Linked DNA regions of Macaca fascicularis. The protein of the gene in region 5 purifies or fractionates together with the protein of the main gene of each other region. This does not show direct contact. Links are inferred from orthologs where the notes say so. Each region holds a gene or a part of one and is shown on either strand. Other genes may lie near its edges.

Region 1 (4,142 bases), on a different chromosome or scaffold from region 5:
TTGTTACATACTCAGAAAGTTAAGTTCTCGGAACTTGAAAGCTCTCTGAAACTTTTACAAGATGTTTCAGCTTATCACACTAGCAGCATGGTTAAGGGCAAACCAGAGCAGCTACAGAATATTAATGAATATTTTTTTCGGACAGAACACTGTACTACTCCCTGCTGTAAGCCACAACTTACTTATCAAGAAGTCAAACAATAAAGACATTAAAATCAGTGGCAAGCACTCTTAGAAAAACTGGCACCATGTTGTTTGACCACTTTTCATTATTATAGTATGACCATTTGTCCCCAGTGTCACTCCCAGAGTTAGGAAGAACACCAATGTAGAACTACATTTTCATTCGTGATGGTAATTTGGGGCTGATTTAAATTAAATTATACTGACCAGAAAGCTAAGAAGAAAGCTGCCTAATTGTTAAAATTACTAAATGCAGTGACTTTCAGAATTGTTGATTCCATGCATTTCATGTACAGAATGTTGAAGGTATTCAAAAATAACTTTAATACAGAACTTTACATTGTTAGGAAAATCACATAAAATTGTAGGTCTAGGTCTGAAGTCAACATAGATGAGTTAAACAGTCTATTTGCTTCCTTTTTACACAATTAAACTATTAACCACATTCTTTGTCCTTTTAGCTAGTATTCTAATAACATCTTCCACCTTCATACTCAATTTTGGGGTAAGTAAAATGGCTTTCCCCCCAAATGCCTGTAATCAAAATACCAATGTTTTTTATTTAACACTTCACCATCTTCAGTCACTTATATAATATTGATCAATGAGCCAACATTATTTAAAAATATGAGAATTACAGTGAGACTCTAAGTCCTGACCCCTCTGGGCCTTGATGTCCACAAATGAACAGGTAACTGCCAACTAAAGTTCCTTAATCATTTCTAAAAGTGGCCTATTGTATACCCTATCGTAAAGGGCATATGTGGTTTAAGAAAGATGTCTAAATTCCTCTAGAACGTTATTTTTGTAGCATCAGAAGTACAATAAGAAAAATAATAATAACCTAAGGGCCAGGCTCAGGGGGCTCAAGTCTGTAATCCCAACACTTTGGGAGCTCTAGGAGAGAGGACTGCTTGAGCCTAGGAGTTTGAGGCCAGCCTGGGCAGCATAGTGAAATCCTGTCTCTACAAAAAATTAAAAAATTAGCCGGGCATGGTGGCAGGCGCCTGTCGTTCCAGCTACTCAGGTGGCTGAGGTGGAAAAATAACTTAAGCACGAGAGGCTGAGGCTGCAGTGAGCTGTGATAGCTCCTCTGCACTCCAGCCTGGGCGACAGAGACCCTGTCTCAAAACAAAACAAAATAACCTAGCAATTCTATCCACCTGTTATCCATGTGGCACGTTGGCCCAAAGAAACCTTACTAATGATGTTACCAATTACCTTCCGAGAAATCTTTTTACTATAAAAGAAGGGCTGAAAAGCAGTCAATATTCATTGAGCATCTACTCTCAAGCTAAGTGTTTTACATTTTGCATTTGATTTTCACGACTATAGTTAGGAAGGTTACTTTTGGTTTAAACGTAGGCTCTGGAGCTAGACCCCATGCCTTCTCCAGGAGCTCCCGATGACCATATGCAACTTACTTTTTGCTCCCTGTGCCTCCGTTTCTTCACTCGGAAAATGGAAATAGAAACAGTAGCAATCTCATTAGAGCAGTTCCAGAATTAAATAATACACATGAAATGCCTAGAGCTAAACCTGGCCCTCGCTGTCATTGTTATAAAAATGAATTATTAGTGTAGGTAGTATTGTTCCTATTTCACAGATGAGGAAACGGAAGCTTAGAGAATGCAATTTACTAATGATCATACCAATGAGTGCAAAGCTTTGGACTTAAAAGCACGAATTTGATTAAATGAAAGTTACTTAGAGAGTGGGAGTCTCATAAATCCAATTTATGAAGCCTAAGAAATGACACGCGGTAAAAATGATACTAGACACAGGACGGGCTCTCAGGCTCGCGGACCGGGTCTGAGCGCAAAGTGGCCGTGGCCCTGTGTCCTGGTCCCGGGGTGCCCGGCAGGGGCCGGCGACTCTTGACTTCCCGGCATTCGCGTTTATAAACACCGGGAAGTGAACTGCACTGCCGCCGCCGCGCCCCCGGTCCCCAGCGGCTCCGCGAGGCCACTTTCTATCCCGGCTCCAGTCGGAGAAGACCAGTCCCAACAGCGGGCGCCGACGGCCGGCTCGACGCTGCTCCAAAAACAGCAGCCAGCGAGGGAGCGAGAGACAAAGGCGCAGGACCAGTCCAGGGGCGCGCTGAGTCCTAAACGCCGAGCCCCGGGTGGCCTCGCTGGCTCCCACCTGCGCTCGCCCAGCCTGGCGGGAGACCGCAGGTGTCAGGAGCCGCTCAGGCCCGGTCCTCCGCAGCTCCAGCAGCCCCGACGTGACAGCGCCCAGGCCCGCGACCCTAGCGCTCGGAACGCGGCTGGGCCGACTCGGCGCCCGGACGCTGCCAGCGCCTGGGACCCGAGGGGGGTGGCGGTGTGCGGACTTCCTCCCGGACTAGCCTGGAATCCCGCCCCAGCCCCCACCGGCCCGCGGCCGCCCCCGCCCCCGCCCCCACGCCTGGCACAAAGGTCCCGGCGCGGCCCGGGCCGGCGGCTGTTAAGTGCTGTTGCGCACCGCAGACCCGAGGCCGCGGCCCGCACCCCCACACCCGAGGCCCGCCGGCGCCTACCTTCTCCGCGCGGCGTCCGGGCCCCGGCGCGGTGGGCTCCGGCCTGCTGTTCCGCGACTCCCGCTCGGCCTCTCCTGCGGGCTGGCGGGGCCTCCCGAGTCTCGGGCGCGGCGGGTGGCGGCGGCTCCTCCTCCTCAGGGGCGGGAGGAGGGGACTCGGCGGCCCAGAGCCGCCCCCCGGCAGGAAACCAGCCGCGGCCCCGCCTCCTCTGCGCGTCTGATCCCGCTCCCGAGGCCGCCACCGCCCTCTCCCTCCGGAAACGCATTCCTCTCCCGCCGCGTCAGCCCGGCCCCGGGGCGAGGAGGAGGCGCAGGAGGAGGCAGGAAGCGCGACCGGGACAAAGGAACTGGCCCGCTCGGGAGCGCGCCTGAGGGAGGCCGTGGAGGGCAGGGCCGGGACTCCGCTGAGACAGTCGCCATGCCTCAGTTTCCTCCTCTGTGAAGGGCGGGAGGGGTCGGTTGCGCCCTAAAGCCCCGCGCGTTCCTGGTGTAGCCTGCTGGGCCCGTGTTCTTTAAGTTCCGCTTCCTCGGATCCGCGTGTCCGACCCTCCCTCCCGTTTGTCCACTGATGTCCCGTTGAGAGCCCGGGAGGTCCTGCATCCCGGAAGCCCCCTCAGTCCCGAGGCAAATCGGTACCATGAACCCCCCCATACCCTGCAGGACTCCATGGGGCCAAAAACCACGTGGTCATTCTGGAAGGGAACTGGCTAAGCCAGGACTGCTTTTCTGGAGTGATAATGTGCTAGCGTGTGTCTAAGAGAAAGGTGAAGACTTGGGAAACCCGTGGGTGCCACGAAGGGTGGTGGGACTGGGGAACGTTTTAGAAAACCTGGTGAGTTGGGTCCTGCTTTTGATAGATTTATCTGGAGGTCCCTTTATGGGGAACAGGGATGAGAAGGAAAAGTTTCTTCCTACGGAGTAGAGTTTCTGTTTCAAACCTCTTTAAAAAAGAAAAAAAAAAAGGAGATGGGGGCTGGAAACAGAACGTTTGAAAGAGAAGGAAACATTCATTATGAGAATGGCTGGGCGCATGTCGATTCGATGATTGAAGTTCGTACCAACCAACATCATACTGAAACCCAGTAATTTCAGTATACGCTGCTGGCAAGCTGCTATCCTGGTAGCAGAAAATGTTGTAGGTTCCACTTGGTGAGCTGCAGCACCCTGTTGGGAAAAGAGCTCAAAAATTACCAGATTTATGAAACTGAGAAGAATCTTGCAGGAGATGAGGGGCTGGAACGCCCATTTGGCTGCTGCCAATCTAAAATATAAGAGAAAATGAGGCGATCACATCTAAGAAAATTTGCACATTACTTACCAGCAAAATCAAAACTATTGGTTAGCCAATGTCTGCAGACCTCTAGGAAATAAGCACTATTTTTCCCGCTTAATGGATGTTCAAGCTTAAGAGGCTAAATGATGTTCCTATGTTAATATCT
Region 2 (3,514 bases), on a different chromosome or scaffold from region 5:
GGCCTGAGCAACATAAGGAGAGCCCACCTATACAAAAAATTTGCCCACCTATACAGAAAATTTAAAAAAAAAATTAGCCAGGTGTGATGTTGCACGCCTGTGGTCCCAGCTACTTGTGACGCTGAGGGGGGAGGATCACTGGAGCGCCCGCGGTCAAGGCTGTAGTGAGCCCTGATTGTACTCCAGCTTTGGTGACAGAGTGAGAGACCATGTCTCAAACCAAACAAAACAAAACACAAACACACACAAAACAAAACAGGAAGTTGAAGAAGATGATGAATGCGATTTGAAATAGAGGAACATACAAAAATAAAATGAATAGGGTGCAACATGGAAGATAAAACTAAGAATGAAGAGAAGGAAAAACAAGGTTAAATTTGAGGTTCATAAGCATAAATCAAGACAGGTATGAAACCTAGAGAAAGTGAAAATGAGAACTCACGATGTTAGGCAGAGAGAATACATGGATTAAAATAAACATTCAATTTTTGGAGCAACTCAGTCTCACAAGGAGAAGGTTTTGTAAGCAGACAGTGCTGTGCATGGGAGACCTGCCCTCTCAAAAGTAATTGCCAAATGGTTCCAGATAGCTGAAGGAAACAATGTATCAAAGTTCAGGCCAGTCTCATTCATTCCTCCAGTAGAGGAACTGCTTTTTTGGACAAAATCCCCAATCTCCTGTTGTGTGTGGTCTCTTCTGCCTATTTTAGGTGTTTTCCTTATTTCCGATGAAAGAAGCCAAGATCAGTAAGTGCTTACACAGTAGCTTCTCAGTTGCTTACTCGGCATACTTCCATGCAAAGAGAGCAGTCCATATCCGGTCACCTGCCAGGATACCAGAAGACTGGGAGATAGGTAGCACGAGAAATGGCCTAATCTTCTTTCTCCACTGTGCTGTAGAATGATTGTTTTCAATATGAAATTGGTTACAATATATTATTCACATTGTTTTGTGTTTGACAGCAGTGGACTTTGAGTACCAATTTTTTTGTGGATGGCTACTATGAGTGACATATTGTGCTGCGTGTTGTGGCTGCATGGATGAATGGAGTTGGCCATGTTAACTATTAAACACAAAAGCATGTGATAATTACCTGAGAGATCCATGCAGGAGGAGATTCCAGGGGAAGTTGACTGATCACTGCTTCCCAGGGGGAGGCAGAAAATGCTTCCTGGAGGAGATGATGGGTGGATTAAGGAAGATAAGAGTTGAGCAGGAGTTGTAGCTACTGGCCAGGGAGGAAGGGTATTCAGAGCAGAGGGAGCAAGGTGAGCAACAGCACCAGGATGTGACACTACTGGACTGCCAAACTACTCAGTGTGGCAGAGTAGGGCAAAAGAGGCAAGAAATAAGGAAGAGGATTAAATCACAGGGCAAGTAATTCTGAAAAGCAACAGGCTTATCAGGAATAAACACTCATCATCATAAACTCAGACTTTCACGTTATTATCTGCCCTTTTAGGGCAGCTTGAGCCTTTTGTTTGACTTAGCACAACATGAATCCAAACTAGGGTTGTTTGATCTCCCCAGGCACAGTAGCAGACAATTTATTGAATACTTATTGGCAGATAGAGTTTGTCAGTGTCAGCATTTCTTTTTTTTTTTTTTTTTTTTTTTTTTGAGACGGAGTCTAGCTCTGTCGCCCAGGCTGGAGTGTAGTGGCCGGATCTCAGCTCACTGCAAGCTCCGCCTCCCGGGTTTTTTACGCCATTCTCCTGCCTCAGCCTCCCGAGTAGCTGGGACTACAGGCGCCCGCCACCTCGCCCGGCTAAGTTTTTGTATTTTTTAGTAGAGACGGGGTTTCACCGTGTCAGCCAGGATGGTCTCGATCTCCTGACCTCGTGATCCGCCCGTCTCGGCCTCCCAAAGTGCTGGGATTACAGGCTTGAGCCACCGCGCCCAGCCTAGTGTCAGCATTTCTTGAGCACCCACGAGGTGGGTGGAGTCTAGTAGAAAAAGAAGAACATGTTCCTTGAACCCCAGGAACATGCCTTTTAAGAGAAGATAGCCTGAAGCGACAAGCTATTATAAGTTAGTGTTTTAAACTATGGAAGAACAATCTGAGCAGAGTGCTCTATACTGTAGAAGACTTCTTAGAGGAGAAGTTACTTTTGAAATGCATTTAGAAAAATGTGGGGAAAGATGCGTCTGTATATTTTTTAAGACCAAAGACATTAATGCTGTCTCTTCAGTTTATTGGTGAATGCTTATTCCCAAAGAAACCAAAAGCTAATAGGATTGTTACTTAAAACATGCAAGTCCCATTTCCTCCACTACTACCAGCACTCAGGTAAAAGCATGGAACAATCATTTAAAATCTTGCCAAGGGCCTTTCTGTTTTTTCTGTACTACTTGCTGCCAGACCACAGTCATGGCTCGTTAAAGTGCTATCAGTACTTCATCTTCATGTTCCTATTCTCTTATCCCTAGATGCCTGTGAGGCGCCACCAACATTTGAAGCTATGGAGCTCATTGGTAAACCAAAACCCTACTATAGGGTTGGGGAACGAGTAGATTATAAGTGTAAGAAAGGATACTTCTATATACCTCCTCTTGCCACCCATACTATTTGTGATCGGAATCATACATGGCTACCTGTCTCAGATGAGGGCTGTTATAGTAAGTAAACGAGCCCCCTTTTTTTTTTTTTCTGCTTGCTCTAGAGATTCCTTCCTTCCTTCCTTCCTTTCTTCCCTCCTTCCTTTTTTTTTTCCTGCTTGCTCTAGAGATTTGCACACATTTTGGGGTACATATTCCACTATGGTGATAATGATTTTCTTCTTGTGGAATGAGGTTTAAGATAGCAATGCATTATTGCAGGCTTTGAGAAATCAAAATCTCCAAGAAATCTTTTTCCTGGCAGTAGATTGCCTAGGTGAACATGAAACTGAAATTTGCCCTTATAATAAGTAAATAAAGAAAATAATATTCCCATGCATTCAAAAGAGCACTGCAGAATTTTGATTCTGATTCAGATCTGTTTTATAACTGGATTGAAAACCGTCAAAATTATTTTCTTTTAGGAGAAATGTGTCCACATATACGGGATCCTTTAAATGGTGAAGCAATCCTTGCAAATGGGTCTTACGAGTTTGGTGCTGAGTTACACTTTATTTGTAACGAGGGGTAAGTTGCTCCTTAGAGGAAATAAGGGAAATGTTAGTAATTTTATTTTTGTTTTGCTTCTCTTCTTAAGCTTTCCTGTAAACTTAATTTTGCTTTCTATGTGGCAAGTTATACTTCTAGCCAAACAACTCTTGGATGTTTTATGGAGATAGGCAAGATATTAAAGTAAGTAGAAAATAATTGATACTGAAGGAAAGCAAAACTCCTTGTTATTTCTGACAATAAGTCTGTTGTAAGCATTAAGAATGTAGTAATCATGAGAATTTATCCTTCACAACTGAGTGTCCCCTATTTAAATCCGCCAACTGTTAGAGTTTAAGTAGGGCTCACAAAAATGAGAAATAGAATTGCCAACTACAGATACGCTTGTATCCAGATGACTCTGTT
Region 3 (2,396 bases), on a different chromosome or scaffold from region 5:
CTGCCTGTTGTCCCAGCCTGAGTATCAGTTGTGTTCTGAGGCTTCTATTCTGCTGCTGTCAGTCAGAAGGAACAAGAATTGCAGCCCCAGGGTCTAGTGGGAGGACTCAGGTCCAAGACTAGCCTGACCAGGAGAGTAAGAAGAGTGGGGGAAAGTCTGGGGAGCTCAGAAAAGGCACTGCCCCTAGAGGCCCATGCCCTTTAACATGGGAGAAGCTGGGGAGGGGGGACCACATGCAGCTGGAACCTACCCTCCTTTTCTATGCTTCCCTCCCCAAGTAGGAGTCCAGTCAGGAGTTGTCTCAGCCCTGACAGTTCAGGCAGCAGATGGAACCCAGGTGTCCCCTCCTGGGGTAGGTGGCATGGCCCGCGGAGGCCAGATGGTGTTTGTGGTGGGAAGAGAGGCCTGGGTCGTCCAGAATAGGTTGTCAACCCCCAACCACCTCCCTACTGTGCACCCTGAGCCTTTTACAGTCTCATGGTAGGGAAGACACAGCCAAGCCTGCTTTTTATAAAACCAGTTTATTCACCTTTTAGAAAAACTAATTCCAGGATGGGGAATGGCCTCCCTATAGGATCCCTGTGAGATCAAGAACAGAAGGCCAGAGGGAGGGGCTTGGGAGGGAAGGAGTGGGGAAGGGGAGGCATGTCTCCCATTCTGGGTAGTGGGAAGTCAAATAAATTAAAGGAAGAGTGGACAGAGGGAGAGGGTGTCCAGGCAACCAGAGGAGGGCTTGGAGCTGGGCCGGAAGACAGTCAACACCTGCAAGACCTGAAAAGGGCACCCAGTGTGAGCTAAGGACAGAGAGCCCTGCGTGGGGCTCCCTCGTGGCCTCCACCCCTTAACAGGGCCCTGTGGATCTGAGCTGCCTACTCCTCCTCCAGGTGGGGCCTGGAAGGGAGCAGCTTGGTTCAGGACTTGGTGGTGGGAAGCCCAGTGAAAGCAAGGTTGGGGGGTTCTTTTCCCTCACCTGGGGAGTAAGAGATCACCGTTTTCGAAGCCTCTTCATGAAGCAGCAAGTGATGGTACCAAGGACAGTGGCACCAGTGACTAGGGCCACGCCTGTACCCACCAGCAGAGGCACCAACAGGGTGTCCAGGGCTGGGGGAGAGAGTATGACTGTTCAGAGAGGATGCCATCATCCTCCACCCATCACACTTGCCTCTACACGTTCCCCATCAAGTTCTCTGAACCCACCTTCTCCATTCACAGGCACCCCATCCCTGCCCACAGCCTGCCCTCTCAGCATGCAAGTCAGCATCAACCACAGAGGACCCCATGCAGGTGGGCACTGCAGGGCTGGAAGTTGGATTTTTTGAGACTTCATGTGACAGGATGTGGAGGAGAGAGATAGTAGCAGGAGGGTGAGAAGATGGGAAGGGAAGGCCGGCAGCAGGGGCCGGCAGGAAGGCAGAGCGAAGAGGGTGGAGGGGTGTCACTTACCATGCATGTAGGGGTAGACTGTAACAGGCCCTGAGCGGGCACTGCCCGCCTGGTACCAGCTGTAGTCAGCATGCTGCACCCAGGCGCTGGGGGCACAGTGGTACACGCCTTCATCCTCGGGCCCCAAGCTGTGCAGTCTCAGCCGATGGCTTCGGGGCCCCACCAGCTCTACGCTGACAGGGCCTCCTCCAGGCCGGACTCCCAGCTCTGCCACACCATCCTGGCCCACGCCACCCACCAGCTGGGCAGGGACAGAGCTGAGCTCTCCGTCCTCTGGTCGCTCCACCCACCAGCTGGCGGCCAGCCGCAGTCCTGGGGGGCCACCCCGCACAGAGATGTTGCACAGCAGGGAGGCAGTCTCCCCCCGGTACACTGTGCCTCCTGCTAGCCACGCCACAGCCTCCAGCACCACGCCTGCGGAACAAAGGACATGGGGTCAGAGGGTGCAGGGCCAGGGAGCATGGGGTCAGAGCTGCTGCCAAGCACCGCCGCGGGAAACTCAGGGTATTCCCACAATATTGGGAGAAGAGGAGCGTGAGGCTGTGGCATGCAAGCAGCTGATGGAGAGGGAGGGGGGCATGGAAACAGAAGGAAAAGGGGTTGACAATCCTCAAACCCTGTCCAGGGCCCAGCCCCCTCTCACCTTCCTCCCGCACGTGCACAGGGAGAGGCCGGGAACGGGCACTGGCTGCTTCACGAAGCCGGGTCCCAGACCCCCGAACATAGGCTTTGGCGAGGCAGCGGTAGGTGCCCGCATCACCAGGCCTGGCAGCCTCTAGCCGCAGCCGGTATGTTCTGGATGCCACCTTCTCCATGGCAATGTGTCGGCCCTCATAGCCAGGGCCCAGGCTGCCCACACCCTCTGTGTCCAGCTGGGCTACCAGGCGGCCAGGCCCAGGTGCCCCCGCAGGTGCCATCTCCCAACCTACAGAGTATGCAGCATGACGGCCTGC
Region 4 (4,284 bases), on a different chromosome or scaffold from region 5:
AGTGAGAACAGGTGGGAGCCCCAAAAATGATCATTTAGGAAAAGGATGAGCTTAAAAGGGAGGCTGGAGGAAATAACCAACCACGAAGACACCAATTGTGTGGGAAACAATTGGGACCTGGGCTAAGACAGTAGCCGTAGAAACAGGAAGGAAAGGAAGAAGCTGGAGTCTGTGCTATGGGGAGACGCAAGAATTGAGAGACTATGTGAATGTGGAGGTCAAAAAGAGCAGTGATACCAAGATTATACTCAGGTTACTCCCTAGGAGGAAAGATGATCTTGCTTATCAATGTATTACATTTCAGGGATCAGTACAGTGCTAGAGTAGTGTAACACAGGGAGACCTTCCCAGAGGTCAGGCTGAAGTCACGCCAAGTGAGATTCTGTGGCAGCAGAGTTATCAGGAGGGTCATCAATGGTTCAGAGAACTGTCAGGTAAAAAGGCACCGGCTAGTGACACCACAGAAATTCCCAGTGTAATTCATAGGAGGCATCCAGCCAGGACAGGATATGCTGGAGTACAATCAAGATTTCCCCAAGCTGTGCTTTCCCCACTTCTATTTTGCTTTTGTCAGTCTCTCTTTGCCCCCTTCCCTCTTCCCCCCTCATTATGATTACTCAAGGGCATTGTTTTCAAAGTTTTCAAAGTTCTACCTCATCCCACCCTCATAACTGGTACCCAGGTTGTTCAAAGAACTGCACAACTCTAGGGGGAGTCATTCACACAGACTACAAAGTGAACAGCAGCTCCCGAAGTTGCACAGTGCACAATCTGTGCAAACCCAGGCCACGGCCCTGCTTGACCTAGACACACACAGTCAATAAAAATTGTGTGTGGACTATAACAGCAGTGCACCACTAACATACAACTTACAAGGGTCCCGCAGTGAAAAGTAAAGATTAAAAGCACTACCACCGGGTGTGGTGGAGCATGCCTGTAATCCCAGCACTTCAGGAGGCTCAGGTGGGAGAGTCAATTGAGCCCAGGAGTTTGAGGCTTCAGTGAGCTATGGTTGTGCTACTGAACTCCAGACTGGGTGACAGAGTGAGGCTTTGTTTCAAAAATAAAAACAAAGCACTAGGATCAGGGACTATAGAAAAGATGCCATAAAACTAAGTGGAAGATCTGGAAGCTTTCTGCACATGGGCTGAAGCTGAAGCAATGTGGCTGGACGAGCTCTCTGAGGGAGTCAGTTCAGAAAATCTCTTCAAGGTGAAGGAAGAAAACACAGAAGCTAGCAAGGCTGGTTTACCAGCAGCAGGAGTCACGGGGCTTAGAGCAGTGTGGGCCCCCGGTGTCCCCAGTAGGGGAGTGGCTATAGAAGGCCTTCTCTGGGACCCTCCGACCATAAGTGCAGAGTAGTCATTTGCGCTGTGTGCAGCTGGGACCTGGATGGGACGGACACCGCACACCATGCGCTCTGTAAAAGACTCAGATCTGCCTTCTCTAGGGGCTTGGAAGAGAACCCCAGGCCGGGTCATAAGAATCATCTTGTCCTGGTTGACACTGACCACAAGGATCCAAGAATATCAAAGCATTTAAGAGTCGGCCCTGGGGTACCATGGTGGGCACTTAATAAACATATTTCCGTGGCTGGCTAGGATCACCATGTGGATCTACGTGAAGATGGTGTCTGTGTATGGAGTGAATGGAAAATGGAGAGGGAAAAAACCCACAAAAGATTCCTTGGGTGGGGGGAGGGCGCTGGGCCAAAACCTCACGGGGCACCGAGGGTTTCCGGAGGGTGGAAGATGAGGGGACAGTAAGGGAGGAAAAGTAACAGGTAGAAAAAGTTGGAGAAGCCAGGCTCTTAGGTCTTTGTGTATAAATACGCAGCTAGGCAGCTTCAAGAAAAGCTAAAAGAAAAGACTGAGGCAGACAATCTAGCCACGACGAAAATGACGGCAGGACTCGCCCGCCGATTTCCATTGTAACGCTCCGGGCCACCCTGTGACCTTCGTGGAAGGAAGTTGGAGGATTCTCTCGCTTCCCTGGAAAGGCAACTCCGCGCGGGCTGGGCGAAGAGAGACCCGGCCGGCGGCGGCTATGGCGGGGCATATCAAAGGCTCACATTTCCGCTCTCGAGCGGGGGACCCGGGCCGGGACCGCAGCACCTTCCGGGCCGGGAGTTCAAGGTGAGCCGGGCTCCCGGCGGCCAACAGGTAGGGAGGGCTGGGGAAAGCCGGCCCGGGCCACTCCCCCCGGCACATGTTGGGGGCGAGGCTCGGCCTGGCGGAGCCGCCACTTGCACCCTGCGCGCGGGGCCCGGGCTGATTCGCGCCAGGCTCCGGGCGGCCCCGCGGCCGCTCCCCGCCGGGCCAAGCAGCCCGCGCACCCCGGCCGGGTTTCCCGGGAGCAGCCCGGGCACCCTCAGTGACCCAGGCCGCGCGCTGCAGCCGCGCCCCGCCGAGCCCTCCAGGGCCCTGCCAGACCCCCTGCGCCCAGCTGAGCCCCGCGCACACTCACCCAGCGACAGGAGCGCCAGCAGCAGCGGCCTCGGCGCCAGGCGCCCCATGCTCGCCCGGCGGGAGCGACTCTCCCCCTCCTCCTCCTTCCCCGCCGCCTCTCCTCCTCCTCCTCCTCCAGCTCCGGCTGCTCCAGAGTCGGCGCTCCTCCGCCTGGGCCGCGCGCCTGCTCCGCTCTCCTCGCGAGCCGATAAATCCCAGCGCTGGGGCGTACGTGCGCCCCTGGCTCCGCTCGCTCCCTCCCGCCTCCTTCCCTCCCTCCTCCAGCCGGCCGGGCCCGGGAGCCGGCCCCGCCGATCCGAGTGTGCAGCCCCGACCGCTTCCCGAAAGCAGAAGGGAAGAACCGCAGCGCCCGCCCGCCCGCGCCTCCCATCCGGCGCTTTGCCAGCAACAAACACAAACTTTCCCAAGCCCCTCCCCGCTCCAGGTAACGGAGGAAGCGCAGGGGCCACCCGCTTAAAGGCGAGGAGGCGTCGGAGCCCACCCTGCCTTCCCCTCTAGGCCCCCACCCCACGAGAAACTTTCCTCCGACCTTTAAAAGTTGGCCTGGGAAAGACTCGTCTGGAAATCCCTTCGCTTTAGCCCTATCCCGGGACACCCCGCGTTCCATCACGCTGGAGTCACCCACGCGTGTCTAGTCTATCCTCAATCAACTGCCCGCTCGTTCGGCCTCTCGTCCTGAGCTAAACACCCCAGCAACCAGCCGCTTGGCCTATGCCAAAAATTACGCAGATGGGAGCGAAGGAGCTGAAAGGACTTTTGAAGGCCACGGATTCCAACGTCTACCATACAGAGGCCTTAAGTGTTTCGGTGAGGTGCCCAAGGATTCACAGGGAAGGGGCAAAATCAGAACCCCGCTGTCCTGACTGCCCACTCCCCGGTGATTTGGGTGGGCCTGCCTCCTCCTTACCCAGCACCCTCCCTCTCCTCAGCGCCTGTGGCACTGATTAGAACAGCTCCACACAAAGACACCCATTTAAAAAACAAACGAAACCCAAGTGTATTAATAGCTATAGTACTTCATATAGAATGTACTGTTAAGACTTCATATTTCTTGCTCTAAGTGGACACCACTGGTTGCCAATAAAGACTCATACTTCCCCCCACAATAGAGTTTTGTGCTTTTGATTTGAATACAAAAGGCCCCACGGGTATTGGGAGAAAGGGAGCATTCCTTGCTTGAAACTTAGCAAGCATGATTCAGACACGCAAGGAGCAGGACTGGTGCCCACTGCCCCTCACTGGGCTTTCATTCACATGTGGAAAACGGATCACAGATGCTTATGCGGAAACTGCCCACACTCACACAGGGGAAGAACACTACTTTTACTCTCATGCATCCGTGTTTCAACCAACAAATGTTTCTTATTTCCACTATCAAATGTGTGATTAGCCAGGTATGAACCCTTTGGAAAGAGTCTTAAAAATTCATTCCTGGTGGTGCAACGTTATTGTACTTAATGGCACTGAATGGTACATTTAGAAATGTTTAAAATTGCTAGGCATGGTAACTGGTACCTGTAATGCTAGCTACTCAGAAGACTGAAGTTGGGGGCGGGGGCGGGGGTAGAGGGAGGCCGGGAGCGGGGGCAAGGATGGTGTTGCTTGAAACCAGGAGTTTTTATTTGTTTTGTCTTTTTTCTTATTTCATTTTTGAGACAGTATCTCGATCTGTCACCCAGGCTGAAGTGCAGTGCTGCGATCAGGAATCACTGCCGCCTTGACATCCCAGGCTCAAGCAATCCTCCCACCTCCACCTCTCAATAGCTGGGACCACATATGTGTGCCACCACACTCTAGCTAATTGTTTCTATTTTTT
Region 5 (4,054 bases):
CTCCTTTCTGTGAAAGAGGTCAGGCTACCCCAGCTGCCTTCTCCCACAGGCAAGGCCTTTTTCCTCTCTAAAATGGAACTTTTAACAAGCGCCCCATCCAGACACACATTGTCAACCTCCTCCCCACCAGCCTCCCCTGAGCCCACGGGACTGCACTGAGTCCCTCTGGGCCCTGCAGGGTTCCTGCAGCCCCTTCCCCACTGCACATCCTGCCTGCCTGGGCTGGGTTCTCTGAGGCAGGGGTCCCTTTGGACCCTTGGCCAACCCCCACACCCTGAGCCCTTCCTGTACCAAGCCCCCTGTCAACACTCAGGCATGTCAGTGAATCCACCAACAACGCCAGGAGGCAGGCTCATTGAGGGCCCCCACTGCAGACGGGGGAGGCCAAGGCCCAGGACCAGGGCAGTGTGGTGGGGACTCCACTGAGGGAGGCCCAAGCCCATGGCACTGTGCTCTCAGCCACACACCCTGCGACACCACGGTGGAGGGGGGTCCACCAGGGTGGTGCCCACCAACCTCACCTCACCCAGCCTGGCATTCCTGGCTACAACAGAGCCCCAGTGGATGGGTGGGTCCACAGTGACTGTGAACGGACTCAGTTCTCAATGCTTTGCGGGGAGCGGGCCCTGGGGAGAGGAGTGGTGAGGCCTTGGAGACATTTCCTCGAGCCTTAATAACAAGCATCCCTGGGATGCGTCAGGTCTCCACCCCAGCTGCCTGGGAAACTTCCAGGCCCGCCGTGGCGACACTCCCGGGGGACTGCCAGGGACACCTCTCAGCCTGGGCAGGCAGGAGGGACTCACCCAGCGGTGACCCAGCGGTGACGCATCGTCCAGAGAGCAAAAATCCACCTCCAGAGAAGTCCCCTTCCCTGACTCCCCTTCAGCCCCCGCCCCCAGGCCCACACTCTCCTCATCAGGGGATGGGGCTCCAGGGGCCGGCAGAGGGACATCCTGTGTCCCGTGCCTCTCCCACATGCCTGGGCTGAAGCAGGCCACCACTAAGCAACGGCCGAGGTGCCAGGGCTGTGCCTGGGGAGGGCAAGCCCCTCCCAGATGGCCTCGCTGCCCCCACTGCCAGGGCAGAGCCAAAGGCTACAGTGACTCCCACCAGTGTCCCAAGCAGACTGTGCAGAACAGTCGGTCTTGGGGAAGGTGGGATGTGACCGCCCCACTCCTCTCCCAGCTGAGAGTTCAGTTCAGCCTCTGTCCTTCCCCGTCCAAACAATCTCCCTGCCCCAGATCCGCACTGGGATCCTCACAGTCCAGATGGGAAACAGATGTCTCTGGTCCCACACACTGGCTCCGGGGCCATTTTAAAAGTTTGCCCTCCCTGCCTCAACTTGAGAAACACTCGCTCCACTGGGACATCAGCCGAGTCTTCCACGAGAAGGGGGTGACAGCCTGGGGGGACACGGGGAGGGGCTTGCGGTGTCTGCCCAGGGGCGTGGCCGCGGGGAGGTCACCATCATGGACACCCACTCCAGTCCTTCCAGGCCAAGAAGGGATTTCCACCCCCTCCCCAATTCCAACACTGACAGGAAATGGAAACAAAAGGCGAAAGCCCATCAGTCACTTCCCAGCAGCAAAGACTGCGGTCAGGAGAAAGCCATTCTCAGCAGGAGACCCTCCTCCACCCACGTTGGCACCCAAAGATGCCCAGCGTGGGGGCCCCTCTTTCCAAAGCAGCGGCCCCACTCCCAGACCCTGCCATCCACTCCAGGCCCCTGGTGCCACTCTCTTCCTTGTGCCAACTCAGAACCGCGGGACCCCACTCCTGCAAGGCCTCCAGAGCCCTTCTGGGAGGAGGCCTAGGCTGGAACGTGTCTGGGTGAGGAGAGGGAGATCGGCCCCCAGACAGGACAGCCAGGGTGCGCGCACCCCAGCTTTTGGGCCATCCCAGCGGTGACATCCTTTTAGGCGCGACCCCCGGGAAGGTCCCGGGTGGTGACAGCAGACTGGCGAGTTAGCTGGGCTGGGGAGAGAGTGAGGCGATCGCCCCCAACCTCGGGCAAAGTGTGCGCCCCCGCCCCACCATCCAGGGGCGGCGGCCCTTGATGAGCTCATGGGGGCGGGGCGCCAGGAGTCCCGCCCGCGAGCCCCCCCTTCGTCCCCGCGAAGCAGCAGTCCGGAATCCGCGGCCAGGGACCCGCGCAGGCCCCTCCTCAGCTGAGGGGCGGCCGGGTACTCGGGTCCCGGCCCGCGCCCACCGCACCCATCACTATCACTTAGCGGGAACTGCCCGGCGGCCCCCAGAAGCCCCGGCCCGGCCGCAGAGCTGGGCCCCCGCGCACAGAGGCCCCGAAACTCGGCTCGCAGCCCTCAGCCCCAAAGTTGGGGGGCGCGGCGGCCCCGGGCGACCCCCCACCCCGCTCCTGGAGCCCACAGGTGGCCCCACAACTTCGCGGCCCGCGCTGCGCCCGCGGGGCCTAGCACGCGGCCGCGGGACCTGCCCGAGGTGGGGTGTGTGCCCGTCCCCTCCCGCCCTGGCCCCCGGCCCAGCCCTTACCCAGAAGACGAAATTGAAGACGAAGAGCAGGTACTTGATGCACTTGGTACACCCCTCCACTCCCATGGCGACGCGGGCGGCGGGCGGCCTGCGGGGCGCGGGCCGGTCCTGGGAGGCGGGCGGGCCGGCGCGGGGCCTGGCGGGCAGCCGGCAAGGGGGCCTGGCGGGCCTAGGGGCCTCGGTGCGAAGAACGGGGCGCGGGGGCGCAGGGGCGCGGGGGGCGCGGGGCGCCGGAGGCCTGGCCGGATGCGCGGTGGGGTCGCCGCTATCTCCGCCGCTGCGCGCTCGCTCTGTGGCCGGGCGCGCGCCGCGCTCAGCACCACTTATAGGACGCCTCGGTCCCGCCCCCCGTAGGCCCCGCCCCGGCCAGCTCGCGCCCCGCCTCCGGCCCCGCCTCCCGTCGCCAGGGCGCGCATCGGAGGGGTATGGGGGCGCTGCACCTACCCCCAACTTGGCGCGTTTCGGCCAGGACCTCAGGGCCCGGGTGCACCGTGCTGGGCGCGGGAGGCGTCCCTAAGCTGCTGTCGCGCTCCGAGCCCCCGAGGGGGTGGCAGCAGGGCCGCGCCTGAGGACGGGCATGCAGCGTCTACCCAGGAGTGCAGGCCCGGTGCCGGGAGAACAACCTATTCCTCCCTCCCTCAAGCACCTTGGACAATCTGGGAGGGCTCCCCAAAGGAGGTGAGCACCTTGGACAATCTGGGAGGGCTCCCTAAAGGAGGTGATGCCACAGTGGTTGGCTTTGCAGAGACAGGAGGGTTTGCTCACATTGCTCTCCGGGGCTGGAACGGGGCAGGCATGAGGCCCCCTAGTCAGTGTTGGCCTCAAGTACAGGCAACCAATCCCTGTCCCATGGAAGGGAAGAATTGCTGACCCATGCTGCAGGAGTCTGCATCTGAAAAGGTCACTGGGCCCTGAGAGGGCAGCTCCCAGACCAGTGTGAAGTGTCCAGGAGGCCAGAGCCACCTATAAGAGAACCTCCAGATATTGCATCTATTTCATCCACATCCTGGTTGTGTCGTGCCCCAGGGATGCCAGCCTCACGCTGTGGCTCTTCCTGTAGGTGTGGGGCCAGGCCCGCTGCACTTACTGCTTTGGGCTAATGATTCAGAGTGAGGGGTGCTTCCTGCCCAGAGGAAGGAGTGAAGGCCTTCGCAGGAGATGACACACCGACAAAGGTTTCCCATGTCCTCTCCAAGAAAATTGATGGACAACAGGGCTGCGTCGTGGGCGGGAGCTTACCTGGGAACCATGTGGAACCAGGTCCGGAGAACCGTGCTCTAGCTAGCTCGTCTTAGCAAATGTCGTCCAATCCAGTGCTAACTGATAGAACCTTCTGCAATGATGGGAATGTTCTGTAGCTGGATAACCCCTGGCACAAATGACTACTGGGTACTGGAAATGTGGCCACAAGGAACCGAATTTTTCATTGCGTTTCATTGTAATTTAAATTCACGGCCGGGCGCGGTGGCTCACGCCTGTAATCCCAGCACTTTGGGAGGCCGAGGCGGGCGGATCACAAGGTCAGGAGATCGAGACCACGGTGAAA

What was found.
Region 1: the proteins of CD81 (region 5) and ITGB1 purify together in Homo sapiens (affinity purification with western blotting; 4 studies listed by BioGRID and IntAct, with this or other methods). This does not show direct contact. The link is inferred for Macaca fascicularis from reciprocal best matches to the Homo sapiens genes CD81 and ITGB1.
Region 2: the proteins of CD81 (region 5) and CD46 purify together in Homo sapiens (co-immunoprecipitation; 3 studies listed by BioGRID and IntAct, with this or other methods). This does not show direct contact. The link is inferred for Macaca fascicularis from reciprocal best matches to the Homo sapiens genes CD81 and CD46.
Region 3: the proteins of CD81 (region 5) and IGSF8 purify together in Homo sapiens (co-immunoprecipitation; 3 studies listed by BioGRID and IntAct, with this or other methods). This does not show direct contact. The link is inferred for Macaca fascicularis from reciprocal best matches to the Homo sapiens genes CD81 and IGSF8.
Region 4: the proteins of CD81 (region 5) and PTGFRN purify together in Homo sapiens (co-immunoprecipitation; 7 studies listed by BioGRID and IntAct, with this or other methods). This does not show direct contact. The link is inferred for Macaca fascicularis from reciprocal best matches to the Homo sapiens genes CD81 and PTGFRN.

The regions. Positions count from the first base shown.
Region 1 is NC_088383.1:33,709,442-33,713,583, forward strand, and holds the start of ITGB1 (integrin beta-1), read right to left. Parts: upstream 2,808-4,142; 5' UTR 2,705-2,807; intron 2,532-2,704; exon of another isoform or gene 1,608-2,531; intron 1-1,607.
Region 2 is NC_088375.1:65,575,646-65,579,159, forward strand, and holds part of CD46 (membrane cofactor protein), read left to right. Parts: intron 1-2,431; coding exon 2,432-2,620; intron 2,621-3,024; coding exon 3,025-3,127; intron 3,128-3,514. UniProt on the Homo sapiens protein: Acts as a cofactor for complement factor I, a serine protease which protects autologous cells against complement-mediated injury by cleaving C3b and C4b deposited on host tissue.
Region 3 is NC_088375.1:100,965,656-100,968,051, reverse strand, and holds the end of IGSF8 (immunoglobulin superfamily member 8), read right to left. Parts: coding exon 2,087-2,396; exon of another isoform or gene 1,858-2,086; coding exon 1,444-1,857; exon of another isoform or gene 1,369-1,443; coding exon of another isoform or gene 1,213-1,368; intron 1,102-1,212; coding exon 986-1,101; 3' UTR 971-985; intron 772-970; 3' UTR 506-771; downstream 1-505. Other genes in the region: KCNJ9 (G protein-activated inward rectifier potassium channel 3), read left to right, coding at 1,213-1,368. UniProt on the Homo sapiens protein: Member of the immunoglobulin superfamily (IgSF) that links tetraspanin-enriched microdomains to the actin cytoskeleton and plays several important roles in innate and adaptive immunity.
Region 4 is NC_088375.1:117,488,363-117,492,646, forward strand, and holds the start of PTGFRN (prostaglandin F2 receptor negative regulator), read right to left. Parts: upstream 2,813-4,284; 5' UTR 2,516-2,812; coding exon 2,467-2,515; intron 2,136-2,466; exon of another isoform or gene 1,973-2,135; intron 1-1,972. UniProt on the Homo sapiens protein: Inhibits the binding of prostaglandin F2-alpha (PGF2-alpha) to its specific FP receptor, by decreasing the receptor number rather than the affinity constant. Functional coupling with the prostaglandin F2-alpha receptor seems to occur.
Region 5 is NC_088388.1:2,297,046-2,301,099, reverse strand, and holds the start of CD81 (CD81 antigen), read right to left. Parts: upstream 2,807-4,054; 5' UTR 2,575-2,806; coding exon 2,509-2,574; intron 1-2,508. UniProt on the Homo sapiens protein: Structural component of specialized membrane microdomains known as tetraspanin-enriched microdomains (TERMs), which act as platforms for receptor clustering and signaling.